4 linked regions of the Schizosaccharomyces pombe genome follow. The gene in region 1 interacts genetically with each later gene. Each region holds a gene or a part of one and is shown in the gene's direction. Other genes may lie near its edges.

The links.
Region 2: mutations in SPOM_SPBPB7E8.01 (region 1) and rhp26 together harm fitness more than expected from each alone (negative genetic interaction), as found in Schizosaccharomyces pombe (one large-scale study listed by BioGRID).
Region 3: mutations in SPOM_SPBPB7E8.01 (region 1) and toc1 together harm fitness more than expected from each alone (negative genetic interaction), as found in Schizosaccharomyces pombe (one large-scale study listed by BioGRID).
Region 4: mutations in SPOM_SPBPB7E8.01 (region 1) and cwf24 together harm fitness more than expected from each alone (negative genetic interaction), as found in Schizosaccharomyces pombe (one large-scale study listed by BioGRID).

The regions. Positions count from the first base shown.
Region 1 is NC_003423.3:3,491,956-3,497,278, forward strand, and holds SPOM_SPBPB7E8.01 (uncharacterized protein), read left to right. Parts: upstream 1-2,266; 5' UTR 2,267-2,561; coding exon 2,562-4,271; 3' UTR 4,272-4,822; downstream 4,823-5,323.
Region 2 is NC_003421.2:1,178,354-1,184,458, reverse strand, and holds rhp26 (SNF2 family helicase Rhp26 ), read left to right. Parts: upstream 1-1,820; 5' UTR 1,821-1,901; coding exon 1,902-4,823; 3' UTR 4,824-5,527; downstream 5,528-6,105. Other genes in the region: THO complex subunit Tho1, read right to left, coding at 1-463, 519-1,409, 1,469-1,663; thiosulfate sulfurtransferase Tum1, read left to right, coding at 5,634-5,912, 5,970-6,105. UniProt on the Schizosaccharomyces pombe protein: Involved in transcription-coupled repair (TCR).
Region 3 is NC_003423.3:2,401,695-2,406,047, forward strand, and holds toc1 (Tor complex Tor2-interacting protein 1), read left to right. Parts: upstream 1-1,823; 5' UTR 1,824-1,886; coding exon 1,887-2,009; exon of another isoform or gene 2,010-2,051; coding exon 2,052-3,221; 3' UTR 3,222-3,638; downstream 3,639-4,353. Other genes in the region: pgs1 (CDP-diacylglycerol--glycerol-3-phosphate 3-phosphatidyltransferase), read left to right, coding at 59-543, 581-1,347, 1,444-1,700; rpl35A02 (60S ribosomal protein eL33), read right to left, coding at 3,810-3,927, 4,059-4,267. UniProt on the Schizosaccharomyces pombe protein: Component of TORC1, which regulates multiple cellular processes to control cell growth in response to environmental signals. Tor2 is essential for growth. Nutrient limitation and environmental stress signals cause inactivation of TORC1.
Region 4 is NC_003423.3:3,039,674-3,044,258, forward strand, and holds cwf24 (zf-C3HC4 domain-containing and GCN5-like protein cwf24), read left to right. Parts: upstream 1-1,787; 5' UTR 1,788-2,128; coding exon 2,129-3,730; 3' UTR 3,731-3,851; downstream 3,852-4,585. Other genes in the region: vts1 (RNA hairpin-binding protein), read right to left, coding at 3,952-4,585. UniProt on the Schizosaccharomyces pombe protein: Involved in mRNA splicing.

The DNA.
Region 1 (5,323 bases):
TTTATGTAATTGATAATAATCGTTTTGCGAAATGATTTGCTAGTTATATTTAAGTTTAGCCTATTAATAGCATACGCTACCTCGTCTATTGATGAACACTTCTATTGATAGGTTTCGCTTAGCGGTTGTCCACTCGATTTGTCTTTGTGAAGGAGCATTCGGGTACACATATTTCTGTACCTGTTATAAATAACTTGCCTAGCTGTTACAAACATACATATATATATATACCTTTGAATTCCCATTCACAACCTCATTTTCCAAGTATGTTCTCTGACTCTTACTCAAGGTGAAATCTTTGTGGATCGTAGACAAAATGTAGCTTAAGAAAATCTGGTGATTTCTGCAGTCTTATTTATGTGAATAATTTTGTTCGCCTACTCCGGTTTATTCAAACCAAAAAAACTCTGTCAAAAAAAGGCATCATTTTTTGCTTGCTTTAAATCATTTGCATTATCGTTGAATATACCAATAGAAAAACCTAAGCGTTGTTAAATGAATAAAACGACACTTCTGTATGAAAGCTTCGTTGCTTCCTATATTACCATGTTTCAAGGAGATTCGTTGATATACATGGATCAAATTTAGGAATTGCCGGATAAAGCTATGTTCATTTATCCTATTGAGAATGCAAAGGTCCTGATAGTAAATTTTTTTTTTCACCTGAAATTACCGTTTTTCAATTACCTGAACGAATCATGCTTTAATGCTCTCCATTAAGCATCAGTGCTGGATATTAGTTTTGGGAGTACTTCCGCAAAAACGGATCGAAATCCATGTTTCCGTCTGTGTGCTAGTCGTCAATCGCCCTGATACCGATCAACTACTCCAATAGTTAGTTGCTTTTCCCAGCGTCCAGCAAATTGAGCTAGCTAGCTGTCAACTTAATTAGAAGCAATTGTGACGACCATTTATCATTAAACAGAATTAAAATGCACGATATTGCAATTCTTTGTCTCTAGATGCAAAACCTTCAAAAGGAACGGAATTAAGTTAGTTCCGTTTTTCGTTAACCAGCGTCGTTGGTGACCGAAGTGCGAAAAGTTGCATAAACTTTGTTTTTTTTCTATTACAACATAATTTATTTCCAATTGTTTTAAAAACGTGTCTTTCAATGATTCAATTCTTCCCTACAAAATTTTTTTCTGGGAAGACGAATGTCAATTGGATAGGATTCCCACGTTCAAGTAATCGGAAGAAGTTTGACAATGAGCAACATGCATTCAACGATTATTGATTAAAATTCGGTGTTTGTAAAACGATCATAAGTAAGGAGAATTAAAACTGTGTCTATTTTTGGGAATTGAGAGATTGCTCCGTAGGCTTGGTAGACTAATGTTATTAACCTTCATTGTGTCTAGTCATTTTGGGATGCAGACTGTTCTGGATTATAATGCTAACCATTTGTCAATATCAAGAGACTTTCCCTAAATTTACATCCATGTACGATTTCGGTATGAAATTAAAAATTTCTGCAGTCACGTTCAGTTAGTCGCGCCTTTCATTACTCATTTTTTTCACTTGAAAATAAAATATCGCTAATTTTGAAAGCGCGCATGGAGTTTCACTCTTCCGACTTTCGCATCTAGTTTACCATAATTTTTAAGAAAACTGGTTTTACTGAGTTCATGAACGTTGTATTAAAAAGGCTTCAATTATCTCTATCTACTAAATGCAATGTAGAAGGTGGCAGGATTGCGCACGGACTTGTTTTACGATGCTTACGAGATATCGCTTGACTTTTTGGTTCACGGTGGACTCTTTACAACAGCTGATTTTCCATTCCACTAAACGAGCTGATAGTTAAACTGTCCGCATCTTCAAGGATTTGCAAGGGTCAACCTACTATCCAACCTCTTTCTTGGTTTCCGTGACTGCTCTTTGCTGGTAGCAAATCGATACTGACTATGCTTTGGCCAAGCCGAGGTGCACTTGGTTGATAAAGGAAGAGGATTTTTTTCCACCAATTGCGGATATATTTTAACTTTTGGACCGAAACCAAGTGGAAATTCCCTCGATACTTCGCTTTTTATGGTTAAGCATGTTAAAACATTACTTCCTTACATTTTATTGAGTATTTAGCGCAAATGAATCACTGCGCTGGCGGATCTTACGTGGTGAGAGAGCGGCACTTTTGTTCATCTATCGCATGAAAATGCTGGCTGCATTACGCAAGGTCATGTGCTGGATTTTCTACCAGTCCTCAATTATCTGGCGGTTTTTAAATCGCAAAAGTATATAAACAACCTCGACTGTCATCGATTTCAACATCATTTGTACACGATCTTTTCTAACTGAAAGCGGTTGTTGAGTTTTCATTCTTTTGCTCATACAATTCGTTTACAATTGGAAGTTAATTACTACTTCCTTTTGTATTAGATTTTTTCTTAACTTTTACTTTTTTGGTTTTTTTCTTTTTTAGAGTTTTTTTATTCTTCTTGATTTTTGAAAACGCTTGTTTTATTTGTGTTTTCTATAGTCCTTTGTGTTCTTTTTTTTTGAATTGAAATTAATACCCGCCTTTCTTTTTCTTTATTCTCGTTAATTTTTTTGAAGTCACGATGTCACTTCTTGTTAAGGCTGCTTTGATTTTGAAATGTGCTAGTATGCTTCAGGGTGTTTCTGCACAGTATTTCTGCCGTGATACTACTTTCGACAAGAGAACTTTGGAGTCGGTTCGTTTCGAATCGGAATGTATTCCCACTGTTAACAAAAGGGACTTGGATCCTAATGCTGAAGGTGTCTACAAGCGGTCTTTTGACGGAAATATGAACCCTTCCGATTTCCAATTATTACCCCTTGCCCCTCGTGATGGCGCCATTGTCAACGTTGACAAGGAATCATTCAGCAAGCGTTCAACCACGAACATGTTTGATTTTAACTTTTCTTGCTATTTCGGTTCTGATGGCCATAGCAATGACACGTTATGTCAGCAATACATTGATGTAGCTGACTCCGTGGGTGAACAATTCTCACGTGTGCTTAACCTTAACACCCCAATTGTTATCGATGTTACCGTTGTTGGTGCTTGTACTGGCGAGTCTGTTTGTTCCCAGGGTCAAGGTATGGTAGCAGGCAGTATTGGCGGTGAAGCTTCTCCTTCTCGTGAAATTCCCATGGCTTGCAGTGATGGTTTAACTCGTTATTATCCTCAGGCTGTAGTTAAGCAACTTGGTCTTTCTGATCCTCCTTCATATGCTGACAGCGATATTACGATTGCCCTGAACGCTGATGCTAATTTCTACTTTGGCTCTGGTGATATGGGCTACGAAGCAGTAGATTTGGCTTATGTCCTTTTCCATGAAATAACTCATGGTCTTGGTTTCTCAACTGGATGGGGTGTATTCGGATATGAGAATCTCACTGATCCTTATATGAACGCTCTTTTACCCACTGTCTCATATGTTATTGGTGAAATGAATGGAGAAACTATGTATGCTTTCCATGATGTTATTGAGAATGCTTTTGACAGGAATATTTTTTATTCTATCGACCCTAATGAGGGATTACCTACCATTGCTGAATTTTTCCATAGTGTCGGTGCTGCATTTACCCTTAAGGCTGACTCCATTGCCGGTGTTGTTGCCCAGATGAATGATACAACTACTCAGTTCCATATCCAAGCTAACGAAGCTTACCGCAAGGCCATTAATCCCGGTAGATTGGTTATCTACCCTGATGCAGGCATTGACACCTATTCACCTTTTATTTACTTGGATTCTTCCTATGTTCCATTTTCATCTGGATCATCTTTGTCTCATGTAGCTCTTCATCATTATGATTGTGAGCCCAACTTTTTGATGCGTGCTTTCTATACTGCTGGCGCTACTCTTGAATCCTACATCGAGTGTGCTTATGGAAGTGATCAAGCCGATGTCGCTTACGGTCCCATCGGTCCTGCTATGCGTACTGTCTTCAGACGTATGGGCTACTCGGTCAACAACCTTACTGGTGTTACCAACGAATATAGCGAGAGCTTGGCTAAGAGATCGTTGTCTGAAAAACCCAAGACTGCTCCAACTGGTAAACAGCTTGCTCTTCATCCTTTGAGAAGAGAGACATCTATCTTGGATTCAACCAACACCACTTCTACTAATGCCACCAACACTACTACAACTACCTCATCAAGTTCAACTGCTTCATCATCTGCTTCTGCGTCTAGTTCAACATCCGCCACCTCTGGAGCAGCTGGTGATTTGTTCAGTGTTTCCAAGAATTTGATGATGACTTTGACTGCAGGATTGTGCTTGATTACTGCAAGTTTGTTTTAACGCGGTTGATTTTCAAATTGAATCTTCCTGATGTATATTACTATATAATAAAGCTTTAAATTAGCTGTTAGTGAGATTTTTATGATTTGGCCATCAAAGTCAATTAATTTTTATTGCTAGGAGATGATACTATTAATGACGATATGAAGCCTTGTTTAATACTTTGTTTTCTTATGCAAACGCGAAACACTAGTTTTATTTTGAAGATTGCTACTAAATTATAATTTTGGTTGATAACTGTATCAATATACCTTGCACATATTTCTATAGAATTTCGATCTGCCCTTTTGTTTGTTAAGTTATAAAAACATTTTATCTTTTTACAAGATACTTTACCCGAATTGTGTGATTATAATTCCGTTGCTTTTTAACCGACGTGATGATGTATATTTTATATATATGCCTCTATAATAGTGTTTGGGTCATTTGTCTCACTCAAATTTTCGTGTGTATTTTACAAACACTTAATATTTTTTTTTTTTAACTCTTTAATGAAGGGAATGCTTTCAGTTTTACGCGAACGAAATTTAATCGATTGATGTTTTTGTTTTAATCTTAGTTAAGTCGCTGTAAAAAAGTAGTGTGATAGAAGGTACTTTGTATGACGATAGAGCGGTAGATGCGATTAATATTGTGAGAGTGAGTTTTGTTACAATCGGATGACATGTGTAAAAAAATCCTATATACTAAGATTGATATGGTGATGAATTTAAAAATATGCATTTTTGTGAGTAAATAAATTATATTAAATGTGGGAAAGACATGTAAACACGGTAATGGAATATATAAATATATATATATATATATAATGTTTGCTAGCACATTTATTCACTATAATTGATGGCTGTATAAGAGACAACGGTTTTAACGTTTAAAAATCTTTCGTTATATAGAAATTGTCTCCGTCTTAAGCACTAACGATCGTTACGAGCGGTCCCGCGCTTTTGTCGTTGATCTGATTGACACAATGGGCGGCATTTGTGCTTCGATTATCGTCGTCATATGCTTGAATGGTGTGAACGCCAGATGTTAAAATGCAATAACCATCAGCA
Region 2 (6,105 bases), on another chromosome or scaffold:
GGCTATTAATTGCTGAACGAAAGGCACGCCATGTCTTCGTTGCCAAGGACTGTTCATGGAAATGCTTGTCATCATCTCTAACTGCCTCTTCTATTTCAAACTTGTCTGCTTTAACGCCAGATAAAAAGCTCTCAGGTGATGGAATCCGGTACCTTTCCTCCTTTTTGAGATCATCAAGGGTATTTTCTCCAGCCTGCTCCCAGAGCCTCGACAAAGCAGCATTTCCCATAGCAAATCTTAATTTCACTGGGGTGTTTGTAAGCTTTTTTAAGCCTTCGACAGCTTCATCAATAGCCGCTTTATCTACTAGGGGTTTTTCAAGGGAAGGGCAGCCAAGCCCTTTCCATAATTTCCAATTACCCTCAATATGTATAATTTCTTTAATGGTTCTTTGCACAGAACCACACCGGGCAGTATGTAAGAAACTATATGCTTCTTTGGATAATTCATTTAACTTTGAGGTCTACATATTAGCAATCAATAAAATCAGTTTTTTTCGAGTCTAAAAAAGAACATACATCTTCGTCAGACAAAATAACAATGGGAATTACCGCCTTATTTGTCCATTTTTCAAGAGTTCTCCTTTCAATTCGTTCTTTAGAATGGTCAAGCAAAAAGTCGAAAATAATAATTAATTGTAAAATAGCCTGTAACCGGAAATCTTCATCTGAAAGTTGGTATTCAAAAAGCGACCGAGAATATATATATTTAGAAGGAAATCCTTTATCCAAAGTTATATATTTTTCAGAAAGTAATGAGCTAGAGTTTGGATCAATTGTAGGGTTTGACTTCCCATTGAAGAACGTATTTTGTAATATAGATTCGAATGCCTGTATTGCAGAACCAGCTGCATCTATAAACTTAGGTAAGGTATCACTTGCTAGTAATTTAGGAGGGTTGGAGCACATACACTGCAAATCCCAATAAGCAGTAAATAAGGTATTAAGTTTTTTGTGATATGAGAGGTCTGTTCGGTCCGAAATGGGTGTGGATGGTGGTGACAGTTCTACCTTCCCAAAAGAATGAACAGTATTATAATCTCCACGTAAATTGGCTCCACTCCGTTCTTCAGGGGGGAAAGCCTTACTTAGCAGAATATCGATCCGCCCACAAAAAGATGAATTTTCTTGCCGAGAAAGACGCCGGAGTAATTCATTTGATATCCGAAGCAAAACGGGTCCTCTTCCACGATTGCTGACAATACCTTTCATCAAGCTAGGTCTGGTTTCAAAATATTCATATAATTTGGCGCATTCGTTGACGGTGTGAATGTCCATCAGCTCTTCCAAGATTAGAAAAGGCAACAGGTGATCACAGAAGCTTTCGTTAATTTCGTTCCCTATTACTAAGAGATCCAAAATCGCAAATAAACATTTTAATCGCTCCTCCAATCCAATCTCACTTTTGCGCTACACGAAAATAACAATTAGTAACTTAAGGAAAACTTCATTATGGAAAAAGCACATACTGCTGTTTCATAACAGCAAAATCTTATTGCCGTTTCAAACTCAGTTGAGTTATGAAAACTCTCAACAATCGAAGGCCATAATTCTTTGATGAATAATTCATATTCAGAACAAAGTGGACTCTTATCCAGTTCTTTTGCCTTTTCTAATGGATATGTATTATAAAAAGCTTCAATTAAACCCTTTTGCACCTCCATTACTTTAAAAGTCTGCGAATATACAATCCGCGCGCAGAAACGTGAGTTTATCTAGCATTGACAATGTCATTTAGAAATAAGGATTTATTCGTTATTGCTTTGTGTGGTTCATTGCTTCTCGCTATAACAGGAGCAGCATGAAGGAATATGTAATTTTGCCCTTAACCAAACAACAAAGTATTTTCTTAAATTTGCAGTGAGTCTGAAAATGAGACTTTATTTAAGAAATTGATAGGATATGAGTGTCAATGAAGATCTATCCCATTTAGGGGTTTTTTCGGTTGACCAAGAGAATTTGGAACGCGATGTTACGAATACTGCTAGTGAGTACATTGCACATGAAAGTCGAGAGATCGAAAAGAAGAGACTTCAAAAAGTCAGGAAAGAAATATCTTCTGTAAAAGAAAAAATACGTCGCCTTGATGAGCGTATAGACAGTCGACTTACAAAAATAAGTGTCAAGGAGAACTTCCGCAAACAATTATCTAAATTCCGAGACACTCTTCAAAGTTTACAATCAGACGAAAATGATATTAAGAGAAGACTTAATAACGAAGATTCGGCAAATGCCCCTGGTATAGGTGCATTTTCGACTGAAGAATTGGAAAGACAAGAGCTCATCCGTACTGGTAAGGTTACACCGTTTCGAAATCTCTCTGGACTACAAAAAGAAGTTGATTTTGATGATGAATCTAGCATTCGTGAGGCTGTTATAAAGTCTGAAGGAACATACTATGAAACGGCACCTCATTTGAGTTCGGAGCCGTCAAATATTGATCATGGGATTATTCCAAGAGACGAAAAAGATGAGTACGTAACTGTGGATGCTGTTACGGAGAAAGTAGTAACTGCCGCTATAGATGATGGAGATGATTTGGTATATCGACAAAGGCTTAATGCTTGGTGTGCGAATCGTAAGGAATTACGAGATCAGGCCTCAGCATCTGAAAACAATAAAGATAGAGGAGAGTTTGAAGGTAAAGATGAGTGGTTACTACCTCATCCTTCCAAAAAAGGACAGACTTTTGAGGGTGGATTTACCATCCCAGGTGATATTCGCCCACATCTTTTCCGTTATCAAGTCACTTGCGTACAATGGTTATGGGAACTCTATTGTCAAGAGGCCGGAGGAATCATTGGTGATGAAATGGGACTAGGAAAAACTATTCAAATAGTATCTTTCCTTTCGTCTTTGCATCACTCTGGCAAATTTCAAAAGCCTGCACTTATCGTTTGTCCAGCGACTTTAATGAAGCAGTGGGTTAATGAGTTTCATACATGGTGGGCTCCATTACGTGTTGTTGTTCTTCATGCTACTGGCAGCGGACAGCGTGCTTCACGCGAAAAGAGACAGTATGAATCTGACGCTTCTGAAAGTGAAGCGGAAGAAAGCAAAACCTCCATAAAATTAAGAGGTGCTTCAAGTTCATTCCACAGATACGCTAAGAACTTAGTTGAAAGTGTCTTCACTAGAGGCCACATTTTAATTACAACATATGCTGGTTTAAGGATATATGGTGATTTGATTTTACCACGGGAATGGGGTTATTGTGTTTTGGATGAAGGGCACAAAATACGAAACCCAGATTCTGAAATATCTATTTCGTGTAAGCAAATCCGTACTGTGAATAGGATTATCCTCTCAGGGACTCCGATCCAGAACAACCTTACCGAGCTTTGGAATTTATTTGATTTTGTATTTCCTGGAAGATTGGGTACATTACCGGTATTTCAAAATCAATTTGCCTTACCTATTAATATTGGTGGTTATGCCAATGCTTCAAATGTTCAAGTGCAAACCGCTTATAAATGCGCCTGCATGCTTCGAGATTTAATTTCTCCTTATTTACTTAGAAGAATGAAGCTTGACGTTGCTGCAGATTTACCTAAGAAGTCCGAACAAGTATTGTTCTGTAAGCTGACTCCTTTACAAAGGAAAGCTTACCAAGATTTTTTGCAAGGCTCTGATATGCAAAAGATCTTGAACGGAAAGCGTCAAATGCTTTATGGAATTGATATACTACGAAAAATTTGTAATCATCCAGATCTTGTAACTCGAGAGTACTTGTTACATAAAGAAGATTACAACTATGGTGATCCTGAAAAGTCTGGCAAACTGAAGGTTATTAGAGCATTACTAACTTTGTGGAAAAAACAAGGACATAGAACTCTTCTATTTTCTCAGACTCGCCAAATGCTCGACATACTGGAAATAGGATTAAAGGATTTGCCGGATGTTCATTACTGTCGCATGGATGGTAGCACATCTATTGCTTTAAGACAAGATTTGGTGGACAACTTTAATAAAAATGAGTATTTTGATGTGTTTCTTCTAACTACTCGTGTTGGTGGATTAGGAGTCAATTTGACTGGTGCTGACAGGGTAATTCTTTTTGATCCTGATTGGAATCCCTCAACGGATGCTCAAGCACGTGAACGTGCTTGGAGACTGGGCCAAAAGAAAGATGTAGTAGTTTATCGGTTGATGACTGCTGGAACTATTGAAGAAAAAATTTATCATCGTCAAATCTTTAAGCAGTTTCTGACTAACAAAATTTTGAAAGATCCAAAACAAAGAAGGTTTTTTAAAATGACGGACTTGCACGATTTGTTTACGTTAGGCGATAACAAGACTGAGGGCACTGAGACAGGCAGCATGTTTTTGGGATCTGAACGAGTACTTCGAAAGGATAATTCCTCAAGAAATGGCAATGAAGCTGAAGATATTCCAGCTCGTGACCGAAAAAAGCACAAAATTCACGACAAAGGTAAAAAAGTTAACAGCTCCAAAGTGTTTGAAAAAATGGGGATTGCATCGATGGAAAAGTATAAACCACCGCAAGAGTCAAATGTTACTAAGACAAACTCTGATTCGACTTTAGGGGATGATTCCGTCCTTGATGATATTTTTGCTAGTGCTGGTATTCAGAGTACTTTAAAGCACGACGATATCATGGAAGCCTCCCAGACTGAAAGCATATTGGTTGAAAAAGAAGCGACGCGTGTTGCTAATGAAGCTCTGCGTGCAGTTTCATCTTTTCGGCGACCTCCTCGTCAACTTATACCTCCGCAGCAATCTACTAATGTTCCTGGTACTTCTAAACCATCAGGTCCGATTACTTCAAGCACTCTTCTTGCCCGACTAAAACAGAGACGATGAATTAATTAGAAGAAGTTCGCCTTAGAGTAAGCTGTATCCATTAAAATTTCGGACCCAATCTTGTACCCATTTATTTATTTATTATTATTTCCCTTTATTTTGTACATTAAGTTTTTCATGATTTAAGCTTTATTTATGGATTTATTGATAGACACGCGATCATTTCATTTTTTGAATGGGAATTATCCTTATTACTAGGTGGGTTTACTTTGCTTGAAAAGTATTGGAAATGTCAATTCCATGTTGAGGATAGGGCTGTCGGAATTACTTTGATCATTTTTCCCTTTTGTTAAAGTACTTGGTTAAAGTGTGTTAATGTTATTGTAAGCAAGCACTTGACAAATTCGCTTTACCTGAGACCTAAAATTAGCGTTAATAACTTTCTAGTTGGCTGAGAAAAGTATGAACACTCAAAGCGGCTTAGTTAGTGGTATGTGCAACCCGTGCAACCCTTTTTGTAGCTATAAATTACTACGTTCTTTTGTCAACGTTATTAGAATGCTAGAGTCATGTTTGTTGACAGTGTCAGAAAAGACCTTTTAATTAGAAAACTAGTGGTTCAAAAATTTTGATGTCTTGGTGCTTATTGGCGAACTTATTACTAGTACTTTTTCATTTTATATAAATTAATATTTGTATATAAGCAATGCAACCGCATCTAACCATTTTTACACACATATTTGGTTTTACCAAAAACTTGACTCGTTAATTAATTTTGGGAGCTGCAACCAACGCTGTACTTTCGTAAGATTACTTGAAATTCGAAGTCTATGTAGTTCGCTGAAACAAAATAAGACTCTGCTTCAAACAATGTTCTCTGTTGGTAAAAAAATCTCTTTTATTTTGCCTATTAAGGGCGTATTGCAAAAATTAAAGGATAATGCTCAAAAAACCGTTCTCTTGGATGCTACTTGGTACTTGCCAACAGACACTAAAAACGGAAAGAAGGAGTATTTAGAAAGTCGTCTTCCAGGTGCTCAATACTTTGATATAGATGAGGCTAAAGATCACAAAAATCCCCTTCCTCATATGCTTCCTCCAGCTGACGAATTCGCCTCTTACGTTGGAAAATTAGGAATTGACAGAAACGTAAGTAGTAGTTTAGAAATTCCAATTACTTAGTCTTCAATTTTACTAATATTTTAGACCAATGTTATCATTTATGACCGAAAAGGGTTTTTTTCGTCTCCTAGGGTTTTCTGGACCTTTAAAGTCTTTGGTCATGAGCATGTTTTCTTATTTCCTAATGCGTTTAACGCATGGAAAACTGAGGGTCTTGAAT
Region 3 (4,353 bases), 1.1 Mb from region 1:
CGGGTTTGCAAGCTCAATGTATCTCACACTAACCTAGCACACCAATTTAAACAGCCTAATGGATGAAGGAATAGAGAAAAACATATTTGTCAACTTGGAATCTCAGATTGACGGTGTGTGTCCCAAATTCTATGTTAACGTTGATGATATTGATATCATTCATGAACCTCCTGAGTTTTATCAACGCTTGAAAAAATTAATCAAAAAAGCTCAAAAAAGAATATTTCTATCAACGCTATACATTGGAAAAGAAGAGCGAGAATTGATCAATTGTCTATCAAATGCGCTAAGCAACAATCCCTCTTTGCATGTTCACATTCTGGCAGATCAATTGCGGTGTACTAGGGAAAGCCCTGGTTGTTGCTCTGCATCTCTATTAATGCAATTGAAAAAGAAGTTTCCTGATAGATGCGAAATCAAGCTTTACCATACACCGAATTTGCGTGGACTAAGAAAGCAATTGGTTCCACACAGATTTAATGAGGGATGGGGATTGCAGCATATGAAAATATATGGTGCAGATGATAACCTCATTATCAGCGGGTAAAGGCAAATGATTATTTACTATACTAACGAATAGAGCCAATCTTTCGAGAGATTACTTTACAAATCGAAAAGACCGGTATTATTTGTTTAGTGATAAGGGTTTAGCGGACTTTTTCTTTAAAACGCATTTTTTGTTTTCACAGCTTTCTTTTGAGTGTATCCCTCATTTATCCGATTCCTCAATTCAACTATCTTCTACGTCCCCGGTTATTCCTTTTACTTTGAAATGGAACAATTCATGTCCAAATCCTTTAACAAATCCTCAAGAGTTTCGGGTAGCAGCTTCTGCTAAAATTCAACAACTTCTTCAGGGGAATCGAGAGAAATTCTTGTCTCGCAACCCTTCTAAACCGTTATCATCAGTATATGGCTCTGAATTAATTAATCAAGCAGGTGATGACAACAATAAGCCATTTCATAAATATGAAGAATCTGCTATCGTATACCCACTTTTTCAATGTGTACCTATCCTTACTTCTGACGTACATTCTACTGAAGAAAAGGTCTTGTCTATAATCGGGACCTTGCTATCGCGCAAGGAGGTTAATTGGACCTTAACGGCTGGCTATTTTAATGTTTATCCAGCACTTAGAAAACAGTTGTTGAAATCTGAAGGTATAGGGGAAGTAATCGTGGCTTCTCAACAGGCTAATGGATTTTATCGATCTCCTGGACCATCGAAATTAATTCCACCAGCGTATCAGTATATTGCTGAACAATTTCTTAAAGATTCAAGAAAGAAGAAAAGAAATATTGATGTCTTACAATGGCAAAATAAGGGGAATACATATCATGCTAAAGGTAAACACTACAGTCTGTCGTTTTCCATTATAAATATTTTTTGGAGCACGGCACTTAAGTCATATATCTTTGAAAAATTCACTAACACTATTTTAGGATTTTGGTTGAGTACACAACATCACAAGCATCCTTTTTTAACGACGATTGGGTCTTCCAATTATACGAGTAGGTCTCAACAGTTGGACCTTGAATCCACCTTAGTTGTAATGACACAGAATGAAAAATTAAAGAGAAAATTTTCTACTGAAATTGAACTTATTAAACAGCACACAAAGCCTATGAATACCTGTCAGTTAGAAAAGGTTCCTATGTATGTGAAGGCTTTGACTTCTCTCATGAAGAAAAAATTATAATATGAATTTAATAAAATTTATAAATAAATTATCAAGAATTAGATTTTTCGGCGTTATTAAGCATGTAGTATAGCACAATACTGTATCAATTATATTACATCGACAACGGCGTACCTAATTCTTGCCAACGCCGATCTCACTGAGCAACGCGATTCGAGCGTTGACGAAATCTTCATAGTAGATTTAATGCAATTGCAATCGCCATTTGGCGATGGAATAAGTTGTGAATGTCTCAATATACGTGTTTTAGGAATTCCTAATGAAACCAAACATCAATGGATATTTGTTCCTCGTGATCTCATAAAAATTGTACGCTAACCTTAATGAAATCAAATATAACTAATTCAATAGAAAATTTATAGTTTATTGCAAATATGCAAAGCTGAAAATTGTTCAGCTGTTGCTTGTCGAGGCTGCAACTTATGTATTCTTGCTGTGCAGGGAAATATTGAAATATCCGAGGAACCGCAGAAATTATTTCAAGAAGAAAACGTGAAAGTTTACATATACGATTCAGCTATTTCTCTTTCTTCTGTAAGAGCATCTTTTCCTATTTCAGAATTGGGCATTCGAATGGACATAATTAAAGCGCGAGCTGAACCTCGGGAAGATGAAATACGGGCTTCATTTTCTTCACTAGTAAACAAGGAAATTAAGCGTACAGTCGAAGAACTTTTGTTGTCAAAGAGATCAACAAATCGTTTATCACTACTTGCGTTTATGCGTAATCAGCAACTCAACTATGAAGCCTACGAAACTAAATTGTTAGAAGATGCTTCGACAATTGAGAAATCACTAGAGAAGGAAGTGAAAACCATATATGATAGCAATATCGCATCACCAAAGGAGTCGAGTGATGCCATTGATGCTGACCATGCCATGATCGACGAAAGTCGGTCTACTCAACGTCGAAAATCGAAGCCAAAAAAGCATGTTGCTTTTACTGATGAATATCAAGTTGCCTTTTCGGACAAGCCCGGCAAGTATTTTAACCAGCCAATGCAGTATTCCAAACAGTTCAAACTTGACAACCCAGACTATGAAGCGTCTTCGGATTCGTTAAACGATATAGAAAATCTATCTACTTTAACTTTCAGATCTGATGAAGAACTTGAATTCGATTTTGACACAAACAACATAAATAATAACAAATCGGGCGATTCACTTGAAATGTCAACCACGATTCCGAGCGACGAGGAAAATGAAGATTTTACTAGCAAAGTGGATGCTATGGAAATTCACTCAGGAAGTTTACCATTAAATATTGATTCTTCTCCTATATTCACAAATCATTCTCCTTCGTCAAGTCTTAGCTCAGAATCCTCCTTTGAAGCCTCACCCTCTTCGTTTGTCGATCGGAAAAATAGATGGATCCAAATGTTGAAAAAGGCAGACGAACATAGTCGAAGTATCCAAGCCCGAAGTATGGGCTATGTATTAAGTGATGATCTTGACAATTCAAAAGCTTTTAGACCTTATAAACAGTCGTTTTTGGCTCAAGGTTGGAAGAGTTTAAATTGAATAGCGTCTATGTGTTTTATCTTTACAATTTAGGACTATTTCTTGCGCTCCTTTTTTTCTCACAAAGAATGCTTGATGATTTTGTTTCGTTGATAATAATTTTGCTATTATTTTATACTATTTTTAAATAATTATAGTTGGGGTTAATAATTGATTTGCTTTTGATTTGTATGATCGACAGCCGATTATAAACATGCTCGACAGTATTCGATCGAACTACCTGCATAAACAAGGTAGTATTCAGTACTAAAGGTTAGACGCCAAACTAGTGAATTTACAATACCTAAGTAATTGATGCAGTGTTGCCCATCAACACCCTAAGAACAGACGACTGAAATGATACTTCGTGAAACGATTCTCAAAAGTTACCTATACAAATTTACAGCTTTTGTTATTTAACATCAATATTGATTAAACTTAAATTAATAATTGTGTTTTAATGTACCAATTACAAATTCCTAGTGAGTAAATAATACCAAAAGCATTGATTACTTTGTATAACAAACGAGGCTTTCGATAAAATGGGATTCCCTAAATAAAATAAATCTAAGAAGCAGAAGAATTGTTGTGAACATAAAAATATTTTATTTAAACATTGGAGGGATAAAGCATGACACGGAGAGAGGCACCAAAGGTCTTGGGAGGAAGATTATGGGTGAAACGAGCACGAACAACACCAGAATTTCCATGAGGACGACTAACAGTTCTAAAACGTAATTAGTAAAGGTTTTGAATGTATTCGTTTAGCCAACAAAAAACGACCGTGAAAATATAGCATTAACGTTTCTTCATATTCTCCAAAGAAACGCAAGAATTTAATTACAAAAATAAACTTACCCCCAAATGACACGAATCTTGGATCCACGAACGGGCTTGTTGCTTTTGTAGACGAAGCAAATACGCTTGCCTAGGTAAAATTGGGCTTCTTCCTTAGAATCACATCCCTCAATCTTTACCAAAGAAGTTCCTGGGTGGATAACATGTTTGCTTCTTTGAAAAGAGAGATGTTTAGCTTTAACGTACAATCTGTGTCCCTGAGCAGGCATTTTGACTTGGTAAAGGCGGAACTCTTAGTGTGGTGATCCTTACCGTTTGCTTAAGCTGTGACTGCCCTTCTTGTGCTTGCAAAACC
Region 4 (4,585 bases), 450 kb from region 1:
CCTAATTTAGTGCCTTACTTACATGGCTTGTTTCCAGTCGATGAAGCTCGTAACGTTCGTTTCTCTATCAATTACTTTACTTCTATTGGTTTGGGTGCATTAACTGAAGAAATGAGAGAGTACCTCCTTACCATGCCCAAAAGCGAGCCAAAGGAGCAAGATAGCGAAGGTTATAGCTCTGGATCCGAGACAGGATCAACATATAGTTCCTCTTATTCTTCCACATACTCACGTGGGAGATCATATTCTCGGTCAACTCGGTCATACTCGAAAAGCCGTTCTTATTCTCGCTCCCGCAGTGTAACCCCTATCAATAATATAAATCATAAAAAATACATTAGAAAAGATAGAGAATTATCTCCTCGTGGGAGAGAACGGTCATCAAACCGTAACTCTTATTCTGATCTTTCCAGGTCATCATCATTGTCAAGGGGTCGCTCACGCTCTTACACGCCGGAGGGAAGATTAATTGAATCTGAAGATAAGGGTTATCGTTCTCGTTCTTCTTCACCTGCTTCACGTAAGTATCGCTCGCGCCAACGTTATAGACGTTCATACGCTGGTTCTACAAGCAGAGGCAGGTCCTTTTCTCGCTCACCCTCCTACAGAAGAAGGTTGAGTATGTCATGTTCAGTTTCATACTCTAGATCTCCGTCTCCGCTGCACGCCCTATTTCTCGCTCTCCTGCTAGGAATAAAAGATCTTATGACTCTTTATCATACAACCGTCAATATTCACCAAAGGTATCTAGAAAAAGGTCTAATGAATCTAGGTCACCTTCACCTTACACTCTCCGGAAGCAAAAAACATACCACTTGAATAAGAGGAACGAAGACTTTGTTGTGAAGATGGATAAAAAAGGTTCTGAATCACCTGTCATATTGGCACCATGGTTGCGTGAGGTTGATGATGGCGAACTTTATAAAGACAGGAACAGTGAATCAGATAGTGTTCGTAAACAACCAAGGGCTGATTAAGAGTGATTAATGGTTCATCTTCAAAATGCAAATTGTTAAATGTGATGTCTTACTCTTGTCGTTTTTAAAAACCTAACGTTTGGAATTTTATCCATTGAACTTTTGCTTAACTCAAAATAGTTTTGTACCATAATGAATTATAATAAAAGTTGAGACACGCTATGAGTTTGTATAATTTCCTACTAAACTTTATTCGATTTCAATTCTGTAAGCATACGCTATTTGCATTATAGGTCTGAGACCATGATTGTTTGATGTGATATAATTCATAAGCCGTTGAAACAGTACTTAGTAGCTTGTTCATCAATATTGCAGATTGCAAAATAATTAGAGTTGGATGATAAATGATAATGAATTAAACAAGAATGTAAATTAGATCGTCGTAGCAACGGCCTCTTCATGTTAACAATTTCTAGTAAATGGCAATGCTCTATACGTTTAAATTGAAAATAACACCCCCATATCTCAGCCTTTTCTCATAATCTCCATAAAATAAAATAAAAATAAATATGAAAAAATCTCTAGATGTGTTTATGAAGTACCGCTAAGCAATAAATTAAAGGGAACGCTGTGCAAACACGTATTACATTGAAGGCTGTATATATATGTTTAGATTGAAAATATTAGTCATTACTATAGTAATTAAATTATTAAGACTGATTACTGTCACAAAAAGAGAACTATACATTCTTAATAGAACTCAACGTTTGTTTTGTGCCTCGTTATACTATATAATCTTAAAAAGTAAATATAAATACCTATATATTATTAAAAAATATATCTACCTGAATATTACTAAAGCCCAGATTCGGTGGCCACGTATTTAGCTTAGCAGCTTTCTAAAATTTATATATTTGCATTTCACTACAAACTTCTTCTATTTTTGTTGTTTTATTTTATTTATTTAAGGGGACACACGTTTCACAATTTTGAGCAAACAGCAAGCGCTAATATTGATTCTACTAGATATCAGAATTTTTGAAGCACTTGTTTGGGAACTGTTTTAGTGACTATTAATTGTTTAAACTATTATAGTGGTTCTATCTTGGAATTTAAATAGGGTCTCAATTAAAGAAGAATTGACGACGTTTCTATCTTGAATTTGATTTTTCAAGTGTCTTGGTCATTAAATTATCTTTGCCATACATCCAATGGAACAAAAAAATTTAAATATCAATCAGGCTTCAGGTTCAAAAATCAATACCGAATTAGCTGTTCCAATTTTTCAAAGCCGTCGGAGACATCGCCCCAGACAAGGACTGAAGCGTAAAAAAGGATTCAAACGAGATGATGACTCTGGAGGCAGCAGTGAATCATCAAATGAAGATATGCGGGACAATATTCCAATTGTTTCGGGAAGAAAAAAAACCGTTCGCTTAAATCGATTGCAAAGAGAATCCGAGCAATTCGAGAACTCTGCTTTGAAAGATATAAATGTTGAATATCAGTCAAATCTAAGCGCTACTGGTGAGTCCGTTAATACTACAACTGTTTCGGCTATCAACGAAGATACGAGAGAGGTCATTTTAGGTCGACCTTCTCCGAAGTTAGCTAATCAGTCTACTCTTCCTACTGAGTTATTCCAGTCACAAAACGATTACTCTAGATTTTTGCCTAAAAGGAAAGATTTTGAGAAAAAAAGCCAAGTAGGGCCAGTTTTATCTTCCAATGCTTCTACTGTCCGTATGAATACAATTATTGACTACCAACCCGATGTTTGTAAAGATTATAAGCTCACTGGGTATTGCGGTTATGGAGATACTTGTAAATTTTTGCATATGCGAGAGGATTACAAAGCTGGATGGCAACTTGATAGAGAATGGGATTCAGTCCAGGAAAAATACAAAAAAGGAGCTAAATTGGAAGAAGGGATGGTAAAAAATGAGAAAAAAGAGGATATACCTTTCGTCTGTTTAATTTGTAAAAAGGATTACCGAAGTCCTATTGCTACCACTTGTGGTCACCATTTTTGTGAACAGTGTGCCATAACTAGATATCGTAAAACACCGACATGCATCCAGTGTGGTGCAGATACTAAAGGTTTGTTTTCTGTTGACAAAAATTTTGATCGGCTTTTGAAAAATAGAAAATCAAAGAATGACGAGGCGGTCAAGCAAAAGGTTGGTGGTTTCGAAAGTAATAATTCCGCAACTACAGAAGTTTCGGAACGTAAAGATCGTGAAGCTTCATTTCAAGGGTTTGCAGATACGTTGGCAAAACCAAATACATCGGCTCAACAAAAAATGCCTAGTTTAGGTGATAATTCAAATACAATTATTTCAAAGTATTTTATAAGAGAGATTACTGAATCCAATATAGTCCATTTCAAACGCCTCGTTCGTGTCGTTTTAGAGGCTTCTTATAGTGACAAATTCTACCGCCTAGTTCTCAAAAATCCAGATTACGCCCGCATTGCAACATTCGAAGACAAATTCGTTGGAGCCATTAGCAGCCTTGTTGCAGAAGATAATTCACTTTACGTAACAGTCTTATGTGTTCTTGCCCCTTACAGATGTCTGGGAATTGGAAGCTTATTAATTGATCACGTCAAAAAAACTGCCATAAACAATAATATAGACAGAATTTCTCTTCATGTACAAACAACAAACGAATCAGTTATTAAATGGTATACTGCTCATGGATTTAAGATTGTTAAGCAAATCAATGATTTTTACCGAAGGCTAGAAAACAAATCAGCTTTTTATATGGTGTGCCCGTTAAGTGCTCATAATAATATAATTTCAAATCACTAAAATTCACTTATATGTTTATATTACAAAAGCGATGTCAAAGACAGTTTGTAAAATTGGTTTAAGCTTTTAATATTTGATTAGTCCACCTTTTGGCTTAAAATAAACAACAGAAATCCTCAAGCAATGAAAAAAGTATTGTCAAATATAGCGTAAAGATAAGTGTCACTAGATGTGAAACAAAAATATCTAGTTCAGTGTCATTAGTTAATGATAAAAAACTCTCAGTCCATTGATGAACTAGAAACATCCTGTTTAGTTGAATTCGAGCTTATTTCGTTAGACATGCTCCCACTTGGAAGATCCTCCGAGTCAGTATGACCTTTGAAGCTCGTTAAAGACTCCGAACTTTGGTTTTTCGCCGCTTTTAAATTTTCATTCATTTTTTTTGAAGATACTAGCGGTGCAACTTCCTGAAAACTTTTCAACAGTTTACGACGAGCACCCAGTGCCATGATGCCTCGATTTTGCAAATCGAGATCACTTAACGAAACCAAAGCATCCCAATCCGTATCCTTTAAATTATTGGTATACTTGTGTAGGCGCAAACTTCTGAGCCAGCTCGGAATATCTTGCGGAAGCTCATTACCAACATGCTTGTCTGTGTTTTTAGAATGTGAAATCGATTTTCTGGTTTTATTAGATCCCCGTGAGCTTCTACGGTATGTTTGGTTCTTTGAATTATTGGGTGGAGTCTCTATTTTTTCAACTGAACTAAACGGTTGATAAGTGTAAGGAAGGGTGCAAAGGTGCATTCCTACGGGTGTCGAGATATTAGAATTAGGATCTATAGGATTCGTTAAAATCGTATTGGTAGCATGCATCTGTTGAGGTAAACCAGAACCAATTTCGTAATGA